Lonchura striata: one gene and its partners. The protein of the gene in region 2 interacts with the protein of the main gene of each other region in a biochemical or structural test. Links are inferred from orthologs where the notes say so. Each region holds a gene or a part of one and is shown on either strand. Other genes may lie near its edges.

Region 1 (3,744 bases), on a different chromosome or scaffold from region 2:
ATAAAGCAGAACATCAGCAGGCTCAACCAGGAGGTGCGCTGGGGACCAGAGGTGGGTGTATGTCCCCGCAAAGCCCGGCGACATCGGCCGGTGCTCACTGCTGCCTGTCCTTTTCCAGATCAGCCACCTCAACCGGGAGGTTTCTCACCTCAGCCGGGAGCTGCAGAACATGATGGAGCTGCTCAGGGGCCACCTGGGCGCCCCGCAGCCCCCGGCCTGTCCCTGCCGTCTGCCCGCCACCGTCTCGCCGCCATCCGCTGCCCCGGTGCCCCCCTCGCCCCCGGTGCCCCCCAGCTCGCTCAGCTCCCCCACCGGCAGCCCCCGGGCCAAACGCTGCCCGGTCCGCAGCCGCTCTGCCCACGCCGCCGCCCTGCACCCCTGGCTGGGCGCCGAGGGGCCGCGCCCGCCGCGGGGGGACACCCCCGACCCCCGCCGGGGCTCGGACTCGGAGCCGCCGCCGCTGCCGCCCCGCTCCGCCCGTTCCTTCCCCGGCTGCTCGGCCGGGGCCGGGGGTCGCGCCCGCCCGCAGCCGCGGTCCGGCTCCACCAGCTCCCGCTGACCCCGCGGGCACCGGGGGCGCCTCCCCGGGGCTCTCCGCTCCCGGTCACCCCGCCCGGGGCTCCCCGCTCCGGGTGACCCCGCCCGGGGCTCCGGGCTCCCGGTGACCCCGCTCGGGGCTCCCCGTTCCGGGTGACCCTCCCCGGGGCTCCGGGCTCCCGGTGACCCCGCTCGGGGCTCCCCGCTCCGGGTGATCCCGCCCGGGGCTCCCCGCTCCCGGTGACCCCGCCCGGGGGGGCCGTGCCCCCGGGGCTCCCGGGACGCCGCACCGGGAACACGCGCAGGGATTTTGATACGGTTTTATACTCGTCGCCCACGGCGCCTTTTCTATAGCCCGGCCGGGCTCGGCAGCCCCGCCTGTGCCCAGGGCCGTGGGGCGTGGCGGGGCAGCGCAGCCCCGGGGGACCCGCGGGGGTCTGGCGGGGGAGGATCCGTAGAGCTCTCCGGTGGGGGCTCCGGCTTGCCCGGGGGTCGCGGCCGCTGCCGCCCCTCCGCGGCTGTAGTTCGTGTCGTTCCGCCCCGCCTCTCCCACGCTCCCCGCAACACCGAGAAATAAAGGCTCTATTTTTGCAGCCCCGGCTCCGCTGAGTCTCCGTCCGCCGCCGCCCCGCCCTGTCCGGGCCCCGCCCCGGCTCCCCCATGGGCCCGGTGGCACCGGGACGCATCTGAACTACAACTCCCAGCAGTCCCCGCGGGAGCGCATGACATCACGCACGGCTCAAGGGGCGGGGTGGAGGCGGGGCGGAGCAGGTGATTGGCAGCTGTGACAGCCTATGGCCGGCGGGCGCGGGGCGGAAGGGGTGGTCGGGGCCGGAAGCGGAACGGGTAAAGACGGAAGTGAGGCCCGGGGCCTGCAGACGCACCGGCGGGAGCGGCGCTACGGGCGGTGAGTGCGGCCGCGGCCGCTCCTTGCGCCCCGAATGGCCGAGCCCGCCGGGAGGGTGCGGACCCGTTCCCTCGGCTCTCGCCCGGCCGAGGGCGGCAGCCGGGCCCCGCCGTTTGGGCGGCCCCGTGGCGGGATGCGGCCGGGGCTCGGTGGCGCCGCTGTGCCGGGCGGGGCGATGCCGGGGCTGCACCGCACGGGTGGGGCGGGGGCTTTGGGCGGCCGGGTGCCGTCGCCTCTCGCCGTGCGCCGGCCTAGCGGGGCGCTGCGTGTGGTGCGAGGCGGGGCGGCGGCTGCTCCGGCCTGGCGGCACCGGTGTGTGCCGGGCGGTAACGGGAGCGGAGCCGCGCCGGGCGGGGGCGGCCGCACGGCCCAGGGGACGGTGCCTGGCTCGGGGCAGGCGTCCCGGCGGCGCTGTGGGTGCTCGGGTCAGGCTCCTCCCGGGAGCGGCTCCCGGGACAGCGGAACGAACGCCTGCGGCCGGTACCGCGGGATTGTGCGGCGGCTGTGCCCAGCTCCCGTCTCGCAGCCGCGGCTGACTGCGAGCTGAGTGGCACTGGGGGAGGTGTGGCGCCAGGACTGAAAGGGATTTCACGGTGGGATCGGATTTTGTGCTTGGGCTGCCTCTGAGGTGGGAGTGGAAGCTCCAGGGGTTCCCGGGAGGTGACTGAGACTGGCCGGGGTCGCTGCCGGTGCCAAGCACAGCCCTTGGGAAGGGAAACCCGTGGTGCTGTAGGGCCCTGAGCAAGGCCCACGGGCTGCAGGGACATTCTGTGACTTGTCTGTAAGGGAATCTCGAGCAAGGCCACCCTTGGATCTCTGGCACAGCAGGACAGACCCTGCAGTGTGAGCTGGGGGTGACATCCTGGTGGGATTGCACCAGGAGTGCAGGTGTGAGCGTGAGCAACAGGTTTGCCCTGCTAAATCCTGGGGAGAACTGCTGGCACCTTATTCCTGGTGATGCTCCTGGGGCTGGGCAGGAGCTGGGGGTGCTGCTGGGACCTGCAGGGAGCCCAGCCCAGCTGCCCTGCAGTTGCTGCCCTGGGATGTGGCTGCTGCAGCTCTGACCTTGGCTGTTCCCAGTCCTGTAGGGAAGCTGGAAAGGAGAATATGTCGAGGGACTATTTTAAGTCTGCTGTGGAACAACTTGCATCTGCTATTCTTAGCTTTTTGTGTGGAGGGTCAGCACACTTGAGCTGCCCTGTTTACAGCCTGATGTTGGGCCTGTGCTCTGCTGGGCCTCCCGAGCCACCTCTGAGCCTTGGATGGGGCCAAAAAATCCAGCTCAGTCTGTTGTCTTGACATGCCATGCAGTCTGAGGGAACTTCCTGGAAATACCCACTGCTGCCTTGACTCTGAAAGTCTTTTACGTTTCTTTTCAGCTCACCTGGATAATAAGGTGCAAGATCTATATGTGAAAAGAGTTAAGAATTCTGGATAGTACCTGTAGGCAGCTACAGGACAATGTTGAGGCATTCTTGGGGTGAGGCAAGCAGAGCCTGGCTGGATTTGGGAGGTCAAGGACAGGAATGTTTGGGGTCATACCTGGGTCTCAGTGTTGAAATCACCTCAGACCCCTCATAAGTTACAACAGTTTGCTGGAACAGTCAATACCTTGAGACCAAAAATCTGCTTCTGGGGTGGCCTTTTCTCCCAAGATGCTCTGGCTGATTTAGCTGACATTTGACTGCAGGTTGTGCAGGCAGCACTTAAGTGGGTGCTGATGCCTCTTGAGGTGATGGATCAACCCAGGCAAAGTGAGATGGACTCCTGGAGAGGGTTGAGTTTCTGGAGAGTAGGAGGGAAAGGCTGGCTTGGCATGTGGATATGACTAGAGCAAGCTCAAACACTTACCTGCTTTTGCATTGGTAGAGTACACTTTGCTTTCCTGTGAAACCAGGGATGTGTTGGTGTGGTTTTGGTTTGCCAGTTTGAGATGGCACCAATTTTTACATTTCCCAGCCAACTGGACAGTGTGTAAAGGAGCTGTCTGGTGATGTGTGTGTGCTTGGCCAAACATAATTGTTGTGCTGAGAGGTGGGATTATCTCCACCATAGCCAAGCTCTTCTGCGTCTCAACAGGGATCAGCTCGAGGGGTGCTCTAGGCCTTGCCACTCATCAGCTCTGTCCAAACTTCTTCAGCTGCTGCACAGTTTCGGATGGTGGTCATGGCATCTCCCTGAAGAGGGAGGGGGAAGGAATGCCAAGGGCTTTCAGACACAGGAAATAAAATGGGAACGCTTCTAATGAAGTGGGTGTAGCCCAGAGTATTCCTGTCAGCAGACTTAAAAGAGGATAGAAT
Region 2 (3,744 bases):
AATCTACAAACACCAGAGGTTTATGTCCAAAAAGGAGACAGAGGAGTCCTTTAACTTTTTTGAATAAAGGGAGACGTTATGGGGCATTCCCCATGGGGTCTCTCAAACTTTTTGGGAGACGCAGCTCCATTTTATCCTAATTTCCTGGCTGCATTTTCCCTCTCTCTTTCCCCAGTGGCCGAGGTACTTGAGAGGTACAGGCTCCATAAGATGAGAAATATGTAAGACCCCCTTCTAATGTATATTTCCCCTCCCATTTTTCTTTTTCATTGTGTCTTTGATTTTTTTCTCTAAATCCAGAGATTTAGCAGTCTTGAGTGGGTAAGTCTGTGTCAATTAGTGGAATTCCTACGGAATTTATGGTTCCCCTCCTTGCTTCTTTCACATCTCTGTACCTGGCCTTATCTACTATCAGGCCCACAGTTTGTTTGTAAATACTTCCTTATCACTCCTTTCAGCTGATGCTTTTTGTGTTGTACTTTTTTTTTTTTTTTTTTTAGGTATGTGTGTATTTGTGTGAGTAAAATGTTCTTTTCTAATATTTAAAAAACACCTAATGGGTCATACCACAAGGTCGTCTTTTCAGCTGGGGGCTTGAAGCAAGGAGCTGCTTCATCAGAATTAAATTTGAGGTTAATAATCGTAACAAGTTCGCTTCGACAACCCTCCCCGAACGCACATTTCTCAGTACTTTCCGTGCCGCACGAGTAACAGAGTAACACGGCGCTGCATTTGCGCTTTGCCTCCTTCAGCGAGCCCGCAGCTGCAAGCTCAAACCACAGTCCTCTCCCTTCCCTCGGCCGATGCCACACTGACGCCAGCAGCACGGGGCCCGCAGCTATCGGGAGCCCGGGCAGCCCCGAGGGGAGCCAAGGGCACAGACAGCGCCGCGTTCCGCTTTCCCCGCCCTGCCCCCGGCAGCCGGGACGCGTCTGGGGCGGCGGAGACCCGGCACAGCGCAGGGACAGGCCGAGAGCCGCGGCGCTGGGCCCGCTGCGGCGAGGAGCCGGGCCCGGGCCCCCGCGGAGCGATCAGGGCGCAGCCCCCGGCCCGCTCCGCACCTCTACCCGCCCTGCCTTCCCCGCTGCCGGCGGCCGGGCGGCGGCGGTGGCCGCAGCCCCTTCCCGCGGGACCCGCCCCTCCCCGGGGCGGAGCGCGGCGGCTGCCCTGCCTCCCCGGCCGCGGCGGCTGTCACGGGGCGAGGGCCGCGCCGGGCTCCTGCGGGGCCCCGCGGCTTCCCTTCGGCCTGGCCGCGGCCGCCCGACGGCATCCGCGCTCTACCACCATGCTCAGGCGGATTCTGCAGCGGGTAAGGCAGCGAGGCCCGCCCCAGCGGCGAGGGCGGCGAGCCGTGCCGGCGCCGTGCCGGTGTCGCTTCCTGGTGCCGGCCGCGCTCGGAGCTGCGCTCCCCGCGGCAGAGCCGGAGCCACCGGCCCTGTCCGGCCCGTCCTGCGGCGCAGGGTCCGGTGAGGGCCGTCGCGGCCCCGGAGGCCGTGAGTTTGTCCGCCCCCGCCCTCTCGCTGGGAGACGGCCCGAGCCCCGACGGGACGGGACGGGCCAGGCCCGCCATCCCGGCTGGGGGCGGTGTCGCCTCCCGGGCTGGGCGGAGGTGCTGGCGGGCGGCTCCCGCGGCCGGGCCTGTCGGAGGGGCGAGGGGCGGCCCTGGCCGGCGTGGCTTTTTCCGTAACGCGGCGGCATCTCCGCCCGCCGCCTGCTCCCGCTGCCGCGGCTGCGGCCGCCCGCGCAGAGGGCAGGATAAAGGGAAGGCCGGCGTGGGGAGAGCCGCCGCCGGGACCTGCGGTGATGTCCTCAGGGGCTGGCAGGCAGCAGGCTCTTAACGCCGAGAGCCAGCCCGGCAGCCGCCGTCCGGCCGCCTCCCGTGTTTTAGGAACCGGCTTTTCCGGCAGCTCTGCCGGGCTTGGGAAGCCAAGTTGTGACACTCGTTTATGAGACCCTTCTCGCTTGCCCGGATCCCTTTGCCGGTGCTGGTCGCCGTGCGGCGGGCCTGCGGCTCGGGTGGGAGCTGCCGGGAGGCGCTGGCACGGGGCAGGTGCCGGCGGGTCCCGGCTCCGTGCGGCCGGGGGCTCGGCTGGGGGATGCACCCAGAAGGGTTGAGTCACGCCGGCCGTGGGCAGGCAGCGCTCCAGATCCCGTACCGCAGGAGAGCGGCGTCCGTGTCACGCTGGAGGCGTTCACGGATTGAGGGAAAACCAGCTGCTCTCCCCGTTTGATCCGCTGTTGCTTCCAAAGCGTGCTGTCTGTGTAACACCTCTGCGACAGAGTGTTTTATTGGAAACGCTGGCTTACTCTCCTTACCTGCCATGCAGAGAAGCGTTGCTACAAGAATGAGAGGGGAAATAAAGTAAGCCTAACACCAACTTTTTCAGTGTAAAACATACGTCAGATTATCTTTTGTTATAGACCCTAAGCAGGTGAAGATCTTGGTATATTTGGAGCTTTGTGTTTACAAGGAAGAGCTTCCTTCCTGAAGCTTAATGGGAAGCCCTGCTAACAAGCAGGAAACTTAGTACGGACCTAATTAAATATTGGCAGCAGTTAACTGGGTGTTTATTGATTCTGAGAAACACCAGGCCATGAAGGAAGGCTTCTGTGAGAGGAAAAAGCTTCATATAGTGCCAGAGGATATTTGTCCCTAAGTATGAATTCAGCTAAACACATCTTACAGACATCACATCTACAGTCAATGCAAAAGTTTCTGTGTGAGAAAAAGACATATTTTCCAAAAGATTGAACTAATAGTTGTTCTCCAGTTGCTCCTGAAAATTACGAGATTACAGGAGAATTTATTGTCAAGAAAGGTGAAACAGACTTCTTCCTGCCTAAAAATTAAATAGAGAAATGTCAAAATTTTTGAAGGTGTAAACTTTTTAATTGCTGAAAATAACTTTTGCCAAAAATAGACTTTTAAAAATTCACCTGATACTAAAAGGGGTTTTAGGTATTTTTGTAAAAATAGTGATTGCATGCACAACCTCGTACACATGTACCATTTTGACTTGCACTCTGGTTGGCAGACTGTGAAAAATACTTCTGCTGTACTTTGGTATTAAAAATGAACCTTAGGTTTATGTCAGATATTTTACTAAAGAACATAGTCATTAATATCTTTCATGTTTCTCATACAGTATTTGAAGAATAAGGAACTTCCTCTTGACCTTTTTATTGTCCATCATTTGTATAGCTGGCAAAAAACCACTGCCTTTCTGTCCCTCAAACATAGCTTCTTGCATATCTGTTTGGTTTGTTATATGTTTATAGGTGATGCCACCCTTTCTAGCCAGAGAGCTAGGCATTAATGGTGATATAACTTGAGTTATAAAAGCATGTTTTTTGAAAAAGGCATTCTTTGTTACATTATTTACATTCTTTATTACATTTTTTATTACTTTATTAGGCTGGCTGACAAGCTGCAAAGGAGGAAGACAACAGCTAAAGATATTATTTATAGTTTCTGATTCCTGAAGTTTCAAATCATCAAATATTTCTTTTTTATTCTACTTCTCTACCTTGATCACCTCTATTTCATCCACAGTTCAAATTTCTGTTTTTAAAAGCATCTTCACTGTGACTTTGAATGACATATTTTCAAAGTGGAAAGTATTATAATGGAAACATTGCTTGTTTAGTTTTTGAGGTTAGTATCTCCATGCTGTCATCACCTAGCTTCTCATTTTACGTCCTTTCTCTACAAGTTCTGAAGTTTTTTACAAGTTTCTAAATTTT
Region 3 (3,744 bases), on a different chromosome or scaffold from region 2:
CACTGGCAAGCTGGAACCACCCCTTCTCACAGAGCTCTGCAATCAACAAAGCCTTCCTTCCAAAGTGACTCACTCCTACCCACTCCTGCTGCCCCAGATTTCCCCTTTGCCTTTCTCTAGCAACAAATCCCATAACCATCAGCTTGTAGCGCACTACTCCTGGCTGCTCCAAATCACTCCCATGACACCCACAGAGAGTTTTAAAAACTCCAGGATACTCTGAAGGAGGAAGAAATGAAATGCAGACACCCAAATCCATTTTGTTAGGTTAATGCTAAAAAGTAGAGGCCAGGCTCCTTCCTGGCAATGTGGGGTTACATCCAGGAGCCAATAACCTACTCCCCCTCTCCAGTGCAATGGCTCCAGGCTACTCACTGGCCCTGGAGTACTGCACTGGCCTGTAGGGCTGGCAATGTGGACCACACCTCTGGTTTCTCTATTTCTCTTCATCATCCTCCCATCTAGACCCTCTATAGCCAAATGGGGCTTCAGAGCTTGTGGAGGAGCCGGTTTTGCAAACGTTGCACCGGCTGCAATTTTTTCCCACTGGGAAATTCTGAATAGGCAGGAACAGCCCAAGCCCAGGTCCTCTGCACAGCTTGAAGCCAGAAACTGTCAGTGATCCTCCTGTCTGATTCAGAGGTGCAGCCTAGGGCTGTGTTCAGAAGTGGGGAGGGATATGGGCTTACAAACCAATTTAATTCATATTTCTAACAAGGATAAGAACTTTTCTTGGGACTAGGACATGCCAGACTTGACTGATTATCAAGGAATCTATGACATACAATGCAGATTAACTAGGTCCAGGATCTACTGAGAAAAACAACTGTCAAGATTTCTTTTGGCAGATCTGAGAATGTATTTTTGAATTGCCATCTAGCTTTCAAGCAGATCAGAAGACTAATCCCTCCATTTGTTCACACAGACAAGTATGGAGTTTCCCTGCTCTAGAAATGTCTAAACTTGTTGAGAGGATTCATCTGAAGGATTCCTCTCTTTTGGGAAAACAGCATCAATCCCCACAGTAAATGAGATGTCTGTGATCAGAAGTAGAAGGTTTTCTAGGACTATGCCCTCTTAAAACAGAAGGAATATTTCACTCATTACTAAGTGACTATAACTACAGACACATCTCCCTAAGTGCTACCACTGCCACCCCATCATTTTAATGAATCTGCAGAGTAATTGCATACTCCTAGTAACACAGAGCTGCATTATAGATTTCTTTCCCTGTGTTAAAAAAAAACAAAAAAACAACAACAACAAAAAAAAATTGCCTTACAAAACCTCCAGTAAGTTTTAATGTTACAAAACATCAATAAATTATGGACATGAGGAATCTCATACCACAAGACACTTCATCTCTATAAAATTACAACATTTTCTGCTGGAGAAGAAAACAAGACATCCACGTATTCTACCACAGACGTCTCATGTTTGTACAAACCACATTTATTTTTGTCACAATGCCATTTTAAAAGTTGAAGGCAGGAATTCTAACCAAGAAAGGAGGAATGGTCACTGCCAAATTCTTTGGGTTGAACTCTCCAGTGCCCTGGCACAGCATCCTGGCAAGAACTACTCCAAGGCAAGGTACCCACTCCTGCTGGGCTAAGTGTCAACACAAATCAGAGAGAACTGGAACGTCTACTTGTGTTTGGTTTTCAAACCTTCAACTCATTCGGATGGCATGAAAGCAAATTCACTCTAAAATGCCTTCATTCATGCAGCTTCTCTGAGTGTTTATGGGGACATGTGGGCCTGAAAGCAGCCGAACTTGCACCGGGTATTTTGAGATGTTTGACTTTAAAAAAAAAAGTTGTGTACTGGAGGAGTGATGCTCTGCTGGTTACTGTCAGGAGAGGCAGTTCTGCTCCGCAGCAGTGTTTGTGCCAACTTAGTGGGCACATTTTGCCGGGAAGCTCCCTCGGTGCCGGGCAGAGAAGGGCAGGAACAGCCAAAGTGCAGAGCTAAGCACATTGTTGCTCCAGATGTGAAACGCACGCGCGAGTTCGCCAAAAAAGCGGAAAAAAAAAAAAAAAAAAAGGAATGGCAAAAAGGACGTTCCTGTAAGGAGTCGAGTCAAAGAAGGGCTGCTGAATAAAGCCAGGCAAGGAACTAAACAAAGCACCGAGCAGCACATCGGTGAGACGGGACTGAGCACCGGGAGAAGGAGCCATCCGACATCCGACACGGCGTCCCGGGGACGTGCTTGTCTCCGGGCAGCTCCCCTCCGCTGGCACGGGGCTTGCCGTGGCCACCGCCGCCTGTGACGAGCCCCCAGGGTGGGCAGCAAGCCCCCTTCCCCCCACAGGCACCGTCGGGGTGCTGGCACCAAAGGAGACCTCCGCGGGGCCACCGCCCTCGGGGGCATGGCTCTGCGCCGGCAACCCCCGCCTGGGGAGCGCTGGGGGGACCCCCCGACAGAGAGCCACTCACCGCCTCCCCCAGCCCGCTACGCCCTGCTCACTTTTAAAAAGAAACAAGACAAAAGCAAGAAGCCCCAAAGCCTCCCCCCGCCCGGTGCGCGGCTGCCAAGTTTCGGCGTGGAGGAATTTTGCGCGGCCGAGCCCCCCGCCCCGCCCGGGACCGCCAGACGCGGCGTCCCCCGGGAAGCGGGACAGCGAGGCTGGAAGCGTTCCCCGGCTTAGCGAGCACCCCGGCTCCACAGCCCCCACCTGCGAGGCGAGAGAGGAAGGAAAGGAAGGGGCAAGCGACCCGCCGGTCGCCCTTACTCACTCCAAGCAGACACACTTTCAGCTCGCGTATCGCCATCATCTGCCCGGGGCCCGGCCGCTCCGCATCCCCGCCGCTCCGCACTGCCCCGCCGAGGCGGCCCAGCCCCGCCGGGGCCGCCCCGCCGCCGGTCACATGCGCCGGCCCCGCCCCGCTGCTGCCCCGCGCCGCCGGACCGGCCGGGGGCGGGCGCGGCGCTGAGCCCCGGGCCGGGGCAGCGGGACAGCGCAGCATCGTTCGCGATGGAAGGGAGCTCTGGAGAGCAGCTGGTCCAGCCCTCCTGCCAAGCCACGGTCACCTGGAGCAGGTGAAGCAGGAACACATCCAGGTGGGGTTTGAATGCCTCCAGAGAGGGAGACTCCATGACCTCCCTGGACAACTTGTTCCACTGCTCTGCCACCCTCAGTGTGAAGTTCTTCCTCGTGTTGAGGTGAAACCTCTTGTGTTTCAGTTTATGGCCATTGCTTCTCATCCTTTCACCGGGAACGACTTAAAAGTCTGACACCATCCTTTTGGCACCCGCCTTTGAGATACTTGTATGTATTAATGAGATCCCCTTCAGTCTCTTCTGAGGCCCAGAGTCTCTTCTCATAAGAGAGATGCTCCAGAGCCCTAATAATCTTTGTGTCCCTTCGCTGGACCCCCTCCTGGAGCTCCTTGTCTTTCTTGTACTGCAGGGTAAATATTTGCTGTTGTGAGAAAAACAGTCTGTGAGAGACGGCATCCTGCAGGGGGCTGCGCATATGCTTAGTCCTACACACCATGTGCTGGGCTAGGCACGGGAAGGGGACTGCTCTGGCTGTGAACCATCTGAATCCATCTCCTTTTTCTTTCATTTTTCCTTTTTTTTTTTTTTTTTTTTTTTAAGCTTTTCCTGCTATGTCCAGAAATAATTGAAAATAGTAATTCCATTTTTTACCCAATCCTGGTAATACACACCTAATTTGGACTAAAATAGTCAATCTCAGGTTAGTAGTAGGGTTGTAGCCCACACACCACATACCAAAT

The links.
Region 1: the proteins of EEA1 (region 2) and RAB5C form a complex in vitro, tested with the Homo sapiens proteins (2 studies listed by BioGRID and IntAct, with this or other methods). The link is inferred for Lonchura striata from reciprocal best matches to the Homo sapiens genes EEA1 and RAB5C.
Region 3: the proteins of EEA1 (region 2) and RAB31 form a complex in vitro, tested with the Homo sapiens proteins (2 studies listed by BioGRID). The link is inferred for Lonchura striata from reciprocal best matches to the Homo sapiens genes EEA1 and RAB31.

The regions. Positions count from the first base shown.
Region 1 is NC_134627.1:6,412,056-6,415,799, forward strand, and holds the start of RAB5C (ras-related protein Rab-5C), read left to right. Parts: upstream 1-1,353; 5' UTR 1,354-1,444; intron 1,445-3,744. Other genes in the region: voltage-gated delayed rectifier potassium channel KCNH4-like, read left to right, coding at 1-33, 119-559. UniProt on the Homo sapiens protein: The small GTPases Rab are key regulators of intracellular membrane trafficking, from the formation of transport vesicles to their fusion with membranes.
Region 2 is NC_134607.1:53,448,110-53,451,853, reverse strand, and holds the start of EEA1 (early endosome antigen 1), read left to right. Parts: upstream 1-1,177; 5' UTR 1,178-1,285; coding exon 1,286-1,309; intron 1,310-3,744. UniProt on the Homo sapiens protein: Binds phospholipid vesicles containing phosphatidylinositol 3-phosphate and participates in endosomal trafficking.
Region 3 is NC_134603.1:51,791,898-51,795,641, reverse strand, and holds the start of RAB31 (ras-related protein Rab-31), read right to left. Parts: upstream 2,847-3,744; 5' UTR 2,779-2,846; coding exon 2,740-2,778; intron 1-2,739. UniProt on the Homo sapiens protein: The small GTPases Rab are key regulators of intracellular membrane trafficking, from the formation of transport vesicles to their fusion with membranes.